2 linked regions of the Caenorhabditis elegans genome follow. The protein of the gene in region 1 purifies or fractionates together with the protein of each later gene. This does not show direct contact. Each region holds a gene or a part of one and is shown on either strand. Other genes may lie near its edges. The genes, in order: sqst-1 and lgg-2.

Region 1 (5,411 bases):
ATATTGCTTGTTTTTAGCTGTTGTAGAATTATTTTTGTTGTTACTATCTGAATTTTTAATATTAATTTTCGAATCTTAGGGAACATCGAGATCATTCGTGGCATATCATAAAGTTTAAGCTTCCAGTCCGTAATAGATTGCTTTGAAGGGGTCCAGTTTGAGAAGTTGCAGGTGTTTTTCGTTTCGGAAAAAATCGAGATTTCCTGAAATGCGACTGTCATGAGTCAAATTTCAGAAAATTCCACGTTTCAATTTCGATGTTAGATTATAGAGACCTTTCTAGCTTCCCATTTCACAACAAACCCCTCTTCATCATCATGACGTCATACAGTCTCGTTCTCTTCTCCAAATATAAATGATCAGCTGTACAGTCACTAAATGCAGCATATCAGTACCTTATCAATTGATAGCATCACCACATGTTCATCTCGCCTCAAATTCAAAAAAAAAGCAACACTTCACTCCTAAAACAGTTCCATTTTCGGTCGATAAACCATCGATTCCCCGTTCACTCAGCTGTGCGTATTTTCTCGTCATTCGTCTCTTTCTCACAGCCTACACTATTCGCGAAGCCGTCTGCAATCTGCGTCTCACCTTGGGCCCTATGCAGAGGGACAATCAATCGGCCTAGAGGAGGCTGGTCATGTGTTTATGCATAGAAATATCGAGAAAGAATGCGAGACACAGAGATGAAGAGGCATCATTCGGCCTCATTTTGCCCATAGCAACACTTACACTCGTAGGCTCGGTAGTGGAATGTTCCAGATGAATACTCTTGCTTTGACACGATATTTAAGTAGGAAATTCCTTTTCTAAAATCTAAAACTAGCAATTTCTTGCGGTTGTGTAACCGAATCAAATATTCGAAAATTAGCAAAATTTCGCAATGAATATTCTCGTTTTTTGGCAAACCGTTTCTTTTTTGTCATTTTGACTATTACACAGTCTCCTCCAGTGGAAATCGGTCCGTTGGCGCACTTCTCGTGCATCGCGTGGAAAATTGAGAAATTACCAAAACTTTCAATTTACTGTTTTTCTTTATATTTTTCATAACATAAGCTTGGGTGGAAGATTACTTTTCAAATAAACATCAATTTCTACTAGAAAAATGATGATAAATATACAAAATATGAGAAAAACTCAATTTTTAGTTGTTTTTACTTTTTATATCAGCGCTTTTATTTTTGAACCAAAATCAAAAAACTTTTTTCTCCACCTTTCCCCGAATTAGCTTTACAATTGATACCTAATTTCAAAGTATGAAATCGATTTTAAACCCACAAAAACCGAAGGAAATCATTTTTCAGTGGTAAAATTTTGCAACGCTCACGAGAAACGCGCAAGCCCCCTTGTTGGGTCATTTCCACGTGAGGAGGCTGTGTATTATCCTTTCTGATTTTTTCCGTCAAAAATACGGTACCCGGTCTCAACACGCTTTTTTGTTGTAAAATACAAGCAAGTATGCGCCTTTAAAGAGTACTGTAATTTCAAACGTTTTTTGCTGCTTAATTGTTTTCCTTAACAATTTATTTGTTTATTTAAAGACTAAAAATTGAAATTTAAAAGCACAGAATTGTTTTAGAAAAAAGTTTTAGAATACAGTACCGGTTGGAATTTGAAAAAAATTGTCGTGTCGAGACCGGGTACCGTAGTTTTGGCGCAAAAATCACAACATTTCGCGTATGGATAATATTTAATTGCATTTTTACATAACTTTCTTGTAGGCCCAACAGTACCTACTTGCCTGCCTACAGGCAACTCTCTACTGCTACTAAATTTTTGACGCCTTCACGAAATTAGTCACTTATGATAATGAAAGTTTATATTTTAGTTCTAGAGAATCTGTTCAACTAGATCCTAACAAAAATAGTCTCCAAGAAATTTAGATGAATGATAATAAAAACTTGTTGGAAGTGATCTACTAGATCTAGATACCACCTTGAACTTTGAAGCCTTGAGTGTTTTTCTTTTCATATCTCCGTTCTTGCCCCCTTTGTTCATCTCGTAAACATCTTTAAAGGTTCCAAAAATAGTACATTTCCTTTTTGTTGTTGCATTATTCTCCAAAAAAATGAATTATGGTTTCAATTTCTTACACAATACAATCATTATGATGATTATTCGAAGTATAATATTTCGAAATTTCCTTTTTTCGATTTCGCAACTCTCGCAACTCAATAATGTCAATACTTGTTCTATTATCTTTCACTCTCTTTTCACTCACTTTCAAATAACTTCTCATTTTACTCAGATGGCTGCTGCATCATCCGCTCCTCACCAAATGCAAGTTCGTGTGACTTTCTATACAAGTCACAATCCGCAATCGGTTCTCATGATTTTGAAGAACGATCAGGCTCTTCAACAGATCTCCGAGAAGGCAAGAGAACTGTTCCCATCGGCTGATTATCGTCTCTACTACGGTAAGATATTATACTTTTGTTTTTGCCCCGTTTGCTAGACGAATCAATTGTGCAAATAGAGTATTTGTATGCCACACCTATGTTATGACAAAAAAGTACGGTGCCCGGTCTCGGCACGATTGAAATTTTTAATGGACGTTCCGAGGAAGAGTGTGCGCCTTTAAACAAACCATTTTTTTAAATTTAAAGTTTAACTAGATTTAAAAGGTCGTTATTTTTGTAAAACTCAATTTAATTAGATTATATTTAAGATTTCTAATTTCCCTAGATATCTCACAGTAACTTTTTTCCAAATCTTCAAATTTTCAGGTGATGTCAACGGACCAATCTTTGAGTTCACCAATTCGGATCAGATTATGTCTAAGATTCGAATCACTACATTCTCTCGAACTCCTCAACTTTTTGTTCGCCTGGAAACTGTTCCCCTTCGTCCAACAGCCCTACCATCAGTGAGCACTGAAACTGCCAAAAAAGCTTCCGATGCTGATCGTGAATCAAAGAGCAGATCCTCGCTGAAGCGTATCGAGAACAACCAGGAGCTCACATTGAAGACGCTGGAGAAGTTGCAAAAGGAGCTCTCAAGAGTTAGCGCTTTGGAGACGATGGTTGCTGATCTTCATGCAAAGGAAAGAGAACCTGTTGTCGAGGAAGTTCAGAAGCCATTCCCTCCAGTGAAGCACTCGGCGTCTTGTGATGCTTGCCTCGGTGACATCATCGGACATAGGTTCAAGTGTCTCGAATGTGCCGATTATGATTTGTGCGAGAAGTGTGAGAGAAAATCTTTACATTATGAGCATGCAATGATCAGAATTGTGGAGCCAAAGAAAACAATGATCCCATCATATGTGACATCAAACTCTCCGAACAATGTCTTCCCAACTTACATGCAGCACAAGATCCAACAACCACAAACTATCAAGGGGATCAACAAGACTGTTATCACGAGACTCGTTCCTTCACATCAAGTTAATCCAGCTCCAATGCCTCAAGCTCCACCAGTCTCCACTCCAGTTCCATTCCCTCCATCTCCAACCATCGGAAATGGAGCAGTTCCAAAACCAGCCCAGGAGCCTCGGATCCCACCATCTCCAACTTCTGCTCTACCACCACCACAATTCTTCAATGAGGAGACCCGTGCAGCCATTATTAATAGTGCAGCGTTGCTCAAGGAAACTTTCAGTACTTTGAGCAGAAGCTTCTTGGATTTGGCAGATGGTGCACAGGCCAATATGGATAAAAAGATCATTGAACGCTCGACCATGGAAGCAGGAATGACCAAATTCGAAGAGAAAATGGATAATTTGAAAAGACACTGTGAGGAGAAATATCTTGGAACGGAAACTGCTGAAGCTGAGAAGAGCGAGGAATCTTCGAAGAAGCAAGCAGATAGCTTGTCTGGACCAAAGATCAAGAAGGCTAAGAAGAAGTCCTGCTACAAGAAATCTGCCGAGAGACTATTCACAATGCAACTTGCTGCGGCGGCTGCTGAGCAAGCCCGTCTTGAACAAGAAGCCAAGAAAAGAGCTGAAGCCAGCTCTGCTGAATTACAGAGGAAACTTGCTGAGCTTAATGTGAAGGAATCTCAATCAAAATCCGAGGAAAACATTGCTGACTTTGTCCTATACGATCTTTACGGAAACTCCTTGGAAGCTTTGTTGAGAGGTCGTTCGAGCTCTAGAATCGCCGATCCTCCGACCACTCCAAATACCGAACCAGCCACCACAGAGTTAGCTTCAACGACCTCTGCAACTCCAGCCGTCACTGCTCCAGCATCAATTGTTCCAGTTACTCCAACTGCACCAATTGTTGAAACTCTGATCGTTCCACCACTTCCACCAGTGGAATCAAATCCAGAAGAGGTTACACCAATGGTGACTGCACCAATCTCAATTCACTCTTCTTTCGAGAACATTTCTTCGGATTTCGAGAGCCTCAGTCCATCATGGGGAGGATACCCAGATTTGGAAGCTGCACAACGTCTAGAAGTCATCGATGATAACTTACTCGACTTCTCTGATGTTGCTGTTGAAGCCCAGGAAGCTCAAGAAGCTCAAGAAGAAGCTCGCCCAGAGCCAGAGCAATCTCTACCACCATTTAATGAGGAAACTGAAAAGGTAAATCTAAATGTCGTCCATGAATCCCCTAATCTAACGAATTTTCAGACATTCGATCGTCTCCTTGAGATGGGATTCTCCTACAACGTCACTGTTGCTGCAATCAGAGCAAATGGATCGAATCTCGAGATGTGTCTTCAGGCGCTTCTTCACTAATTTGTACATCCTGTATCGTGTCGCCCAACCAACTCTCTCCTAGATACTATTAGTCATTTTCATCATTCCAATGGAAAGCTGTATCTATTTTTTCTCGTCTTGAACCTGAAAATGTTGCTTTTGCGTAAATTGCTTTTTTAATAATCTGAAATTAATAAAGTTGTGGCGAAAAATTATTGTCAGCTGGTTTATTTCAAGTATGGTGTTGCTTTCTGAAACTTGGAGGCTGAATTTTTCTTACATCTGTAGAATTTTATCACATTTCGAATAATTTCAGATAATTTTTTAAAAAACCTTTTCCAAAACAAACTATGAAAAATAAACTTCAAAACATCAACTAGTTCTATTCTCAGGTTGAATATCATTCATTACCAAAAGAGTTAAAGCGTTTTCCAGAAAAAGTTTCGATAATTTTCCAAAAGCCAATTCGAATATTTTCAGCAAGTCGCCGCGTACATTTAGAAGCATCTATCATCTTTGGCATATGGAAGCGAACAGCTTTGAGCAATACGTTTTTTCAGTACAGTTACAAAATCCCATTTTTCTCATCGTTGCATCGAAGATTTTTTCAAAAATTTATATAGCAATAAATAACAATATGTGTACATTTTGAAAATACTTTTACTTTAGATGGAAAGTTTCGAAAATTTGCTCAAAAACCGGCTCAAATATCAAAGTGCAAATCGGCGCATGCCACATTTCGATTTTTAGGCAGTTTTTC
Region 2 (4,322 bases), 1.1 Mb from region 1:
CATATGGTACAAAATGTTGGCAGATTAGTGATACTAAAACTGAGATAATGATGACTGTGGTTAGTGAATAACCTTGTGGTGGGGCCGATTTCGGATCTTCTTGAACTACTGAAAATTATATGTTTTTATTTGGAAAATAATCAAAAATGTACCATTTAATTTGGAAGGTCTTCGGGTTTTTTCCAAAAGATAGGAGAAATCATCGGAATGAGTTCGTCTTCGAACTGACATCACATTATTTAAAACTATCTGCAAAAAAACAAATTTTCCAGAACTTATTCATGCATTTGAAGCGAAAACAAGAAAAAAGATCTGCAAATTAATTTTGAGCATGATTCCACCTTTCGCTTCGAGACCAGAGTAAAAAAACGTTAATGCGCCTTTGAGTTACGGTAGTACTGATTAATGGTTTGAACACCAAATGCATTTTTTTTCGATTTTGGCATGTTTTCCTTCTTTTTTTTCAAGTTATATCCGAAAAACCTAATTTAAAAAACTGAATAATCTTTTATCTAAATATTAACCATATAAATATCGACATTCCACTCGATTTCACAAGAAATTTCTTCATCTTTGAAGTTCGTACGCGGAAAATGCTATTAAAGAAAAGAAAATAAACGAGACGCAGACAAATGCACACGGCGTGCGCAGTAACATATCGATTTTGAGACGTAAACATAATTGAGTTCACTAGTCATGAGAGTCTGTTTACTCGTACATCGATTTTTCACTTTTCTTTCTTTCCCCTCATCACTTATTGTTTTGCTCTTTCCATAGTTTCGTCCTCATCTCAAAACTTCTTTCGAAATTATTTAGATACCCGCATTTTCAACAACGGAAAATCTAAGGAAACCCTTAAAATGTCAAAAAAATATCGCAGATTGCCAATTTTTGCTGTGAAATCTTGATCATATTTCATCACTTCTCCCTTTTTCGAAAATCGCGTCAAAGATCTAAAGTTCCGAGAAAAAAGTTTGCAGAAAAAAACGTCAGTTGTTCTGATTGGGAGTAGTAGATTCAGACTGGAAGTTCTAGAGATCATCTGGTTCCCCTGCCCTTTATCTCTCCCTGCCACTATTTTCAAAGTACAAGCACTTTTTTTACGTAGACCGATATAAAAGAGTTGGCTGGTATAGATAAAATCTTTAGTTTTCCGTTAATTTAAACGGCCCATTTTAATATTAGAAATTTTCATTCATAAAACCAAGCATTTTCACACTAGAACATTAGTTGAGAAGTTTTCTAGGAAGTATTCAATTAAAACGTTTTCTCCTATAACTTTCTTAGTGTCGCCAACAAGTCTCGCTGTCATATTTATTTAATTCGTTGCCACTCATCGTTTCAAATTTCGCTATCATTTCATCTGTCTGACACTGCTTCGAACTTCTGTATTAGCTGGGAGAAGGGTCATAATACACACTCTCATCTTCTCTAACTCTATTCTTTCTTTTCCCCATCTATTCCTTCATCACATGATTCTTCTCTTCTCATCGTCTCTCCGTCTCGCGGTCATGTGTCCTCGACGCTCAGTCGATCTTGTGGTGTGAGAAAAGAGAGTAGCATCAATGAAGAGACACAGAGGACAAAGAGACATACAGCAAAAGAGCGTGTGTGCTGCCTACTGCCTCTGTCTCGATTTTTCCCTCTGTCCCATTCCCTTTCACCTGTCTTTTCGCTTCTTGATAAAAAAATTCTCACAAAAACATACAGTGTCCTTTAGCATCTCACACTCTAATTTCTCTTCTAAAATCAGTTTTCTCAACTTTTCAAATACCAGTTACCATTTTTCAAGTTTGCAGATCGAAAATCGGGTCTCAGCACGAAAAAGTGAAGAAGCGTTTATGCTAGCCACGCTTCAAAGTTACACACAAACAGCGATGAGCGGAAATCGGGGAGGATCTTACATTTCCGGAATCGTTCCATCGTTCAAGGAAAGAAGGCCATTCCGTAAGTTTTTTAAAATTCATTTACTAATCAAACAATTGTCATCAAAATAAAAATAGAGCTTCAAGTCTCACTTTAATTTTACTTTAACATCAAACATCTGGTTTTCATCCCAACCAATTCATTCCCAATCATTCCCACTTTTTTTTCCTTCACCCGTCCATTGTAAAAGGTCAGAGACGCAGAGGACAGACACCCCGCGTCATGCGTTTCAGCGAGAGAGCATGAGGAAACAAGAGACAATATGCAAGTGAGACATGTGAAAATCAGCTGATCTTGTGTGAATGAGTGACTATGTCAGTGGAGCAGCACCCATGGAACATTGCGTATTAATTGGGTGCTCTTCGTTGTATGAAAGAAAGAGATAGATGGACCTGAGAAACAAAGATCAATAGGGCAGGTGCAAGGGAAATAGGATTATAGGAAAATTTGGATCAATATTGATATTCTAGAGTTCAAAATATTGCCCACCATTCAAGATAACAACCAAAACTGAACGTACGCCAATCTTTAAATAGAAATATGAATTTTACGAGTGGAAAAGAGAAATCCAGAACTGAGGAACAACTTTTTTATTTTCAAATTTTCGAAAGAAAACCTTTTTAACCTATTCGATTTCAGATGAGCGTCAGAAAGATGTGGAAGAAATCCGCAGCCAACAACCGAACAAGGTTCCGGTAATTATCGAAAGATTTGATGGAGAACGCAGTTTACCACTTATGGATCGCTGCAAATTCCTAGTACCCGAGCATATAACCGTTGCCGAGCTCATGTCAATTGTTAGACGACGGTGAGCTATTCAACTGAGTTGTTTTTTCAAAATCATCCGTTTGCTTTTCAGCCTCCAACTTCATCCACAACAAGCATTCTTCCTGCTCGTCAATGAACGCTCAATGGTGTCAAATTCTATGAGCATGTCCAATTTGTACAGTCAAGAGCGTGATCCAGATGGCTTTGTGTATATGGTTTACACGTCTCAACCAGCATTTGGATAACACATCAAGAGCCGTTTTCCATCACAATTCTAATCAATTTTTAAATTTCCACCAACACCACTGATTGCCCAATGCAATCCTCACTGTAAAATGTTGTATTTTTAAATGTAAATACCTGAAAACCCATCATACTCAGGCGCCAACCATTTTTCTAGTTGCCTTTGCTAATTTCGCCCCTCGCAATTCCCCACCTCAAAACTTCCAGCTGAAATTTGTTTTACAAACGAAAAAAAAGAAACCCAAATTCGCTTACGTTTTCGTGTAGTCTTTATGTGTTCCCTCATAACTCTTTCTCCGCATTTTCCAGCCCGTTTCTTGAATTTCTTCATGTCTTCTTTTCACAACTGATCCTCTTTCAACAAAATTTAAACCGTTTACGATTCTGTGTACTTGGCTAGTCTCTAAAGCCCATAGGGACTATTTTCCTTACTGCCCTGAACATTGAAATTTACCGCTATGGACTTTCTGACTGCCTAGACGGATTCAATTCAAAATTATTACATCTTGTTCCATCGTTACTTTTCCAAATTCAATGTATCAAATGTTTTGTATGTAATAACAACTTTTTCGTCGTTTTTATCTGGAGAATGTTCATTCACAAGGAGATCACATACATATATAATAATAATAAGAGATGATGATGATATCAACGATTATTCTTCTTCCTGGGTTGCGAATGGATTGGCGATTTGCTCGAGTCCATCTGCTGGGCTAACTACTGTAATTGCTGTTCCGCGAGCCACAATAAGACCCAGTTGTCTTAAGATAAAAGATAAGATAAAATCGAAAATCTAGATTTAATTTGAAATCCAAGCTTTAAATCGATTTTTGGAAATCTATCAATTACCTTGTCTCATCACCGACGACCGAAGGATTTTGTGGATCACGGAGATACTCGCGGCAGTCATCAAGAACCATATTGAGCAACTGATCGAATCCTCGAAGCACGCCACTTGCTGAAATTTATACATTTTTATGGAGTGAAGTACAGCTTGTGTATGTTGGACGCTTTCATATTGTTTAAATAGTTTAATGACGGAATCTTATTGCTAGTGCACATCATTGTGCAAAAAAAAAACCAACCTTCACGTCCTCCTTGGAACTTGACGCGAATCTCTTTGTCGAGAAATCTGGTGAGATCAACGACAGACTCCTTCTTTCGTTTTCCTTCGTCTTTCTAAAATAATACAACAATTATAAATAACTTATTCATTGTATTTTTAAAACATACCGACATTTCTCTGTGTTGAGTTGTGGTGAGTCTGAAATAATTCCGAAATTTTGAATGAAATTATCGATTACGAATGAAATAAATTAAGCTGACAAAATCTTATTGATTTAGAATTTTTTTAAACGGTATTTTTAATTGATAAATTATGATTT

What was found.
Region 2: the proteins of sqst-1 (region 1) and lgg-2 purify together in Caenorhabditis elegans (affinity purification with western blotting, with the first as the bait; one study listed by BioGRID). This does not show direct contact.

The regions. Positions count from the first base shown.
Region 1 is NC_003282.8:12,032,031-12,037,441, forward strand, and holds sqst-1 (ZZ-type domain-containing protein), read left to right. Parts: upstream 1-2,251; coding exon 2,252-2,420; intron 2,421-2,729; coding exon 2,730-4,534; intron 4,535-4,582; coding exon 4,583-4,690; 3' UTR 4,691-4,861; downstream 4,862-5,411.
Region 2 is NC_003282.8:10,933,381-10,937,702, reverse strand, and holds lgg-2 (Protein lgg-2), read left to right. Parts: upstream 1-1,799; 5' UTR 1,800-1,841; coding exon 1,842-1,947; intron 1,948-2,565; coding exon 2,566-2,734; intron 2,735-2,785; coding exon 2,786-2,939; 3' UTR 2,940-3,507; downstream 3,508-4,322. Other genes in the region: Protein adenylyltransferase fic-1, read right to left, coding at 1-108, 153-231; lsm-7 (U6 snRNA-associated Sm-like protein LSm7), read right to left, coding at 3,593-3,698, 3,787-3,895, 4,023-4,116, 4,171-4,176. UniProt on the Caenorhabditis elegans protein: Ubiquitin-like modifier involved in the formation of autophagosomal vacuoles (autophagosomes). When lipidated mediates tethering between adjacent membranes and stimulates membrane fusion. Less effective at promoting membrane fusion than lgg-1.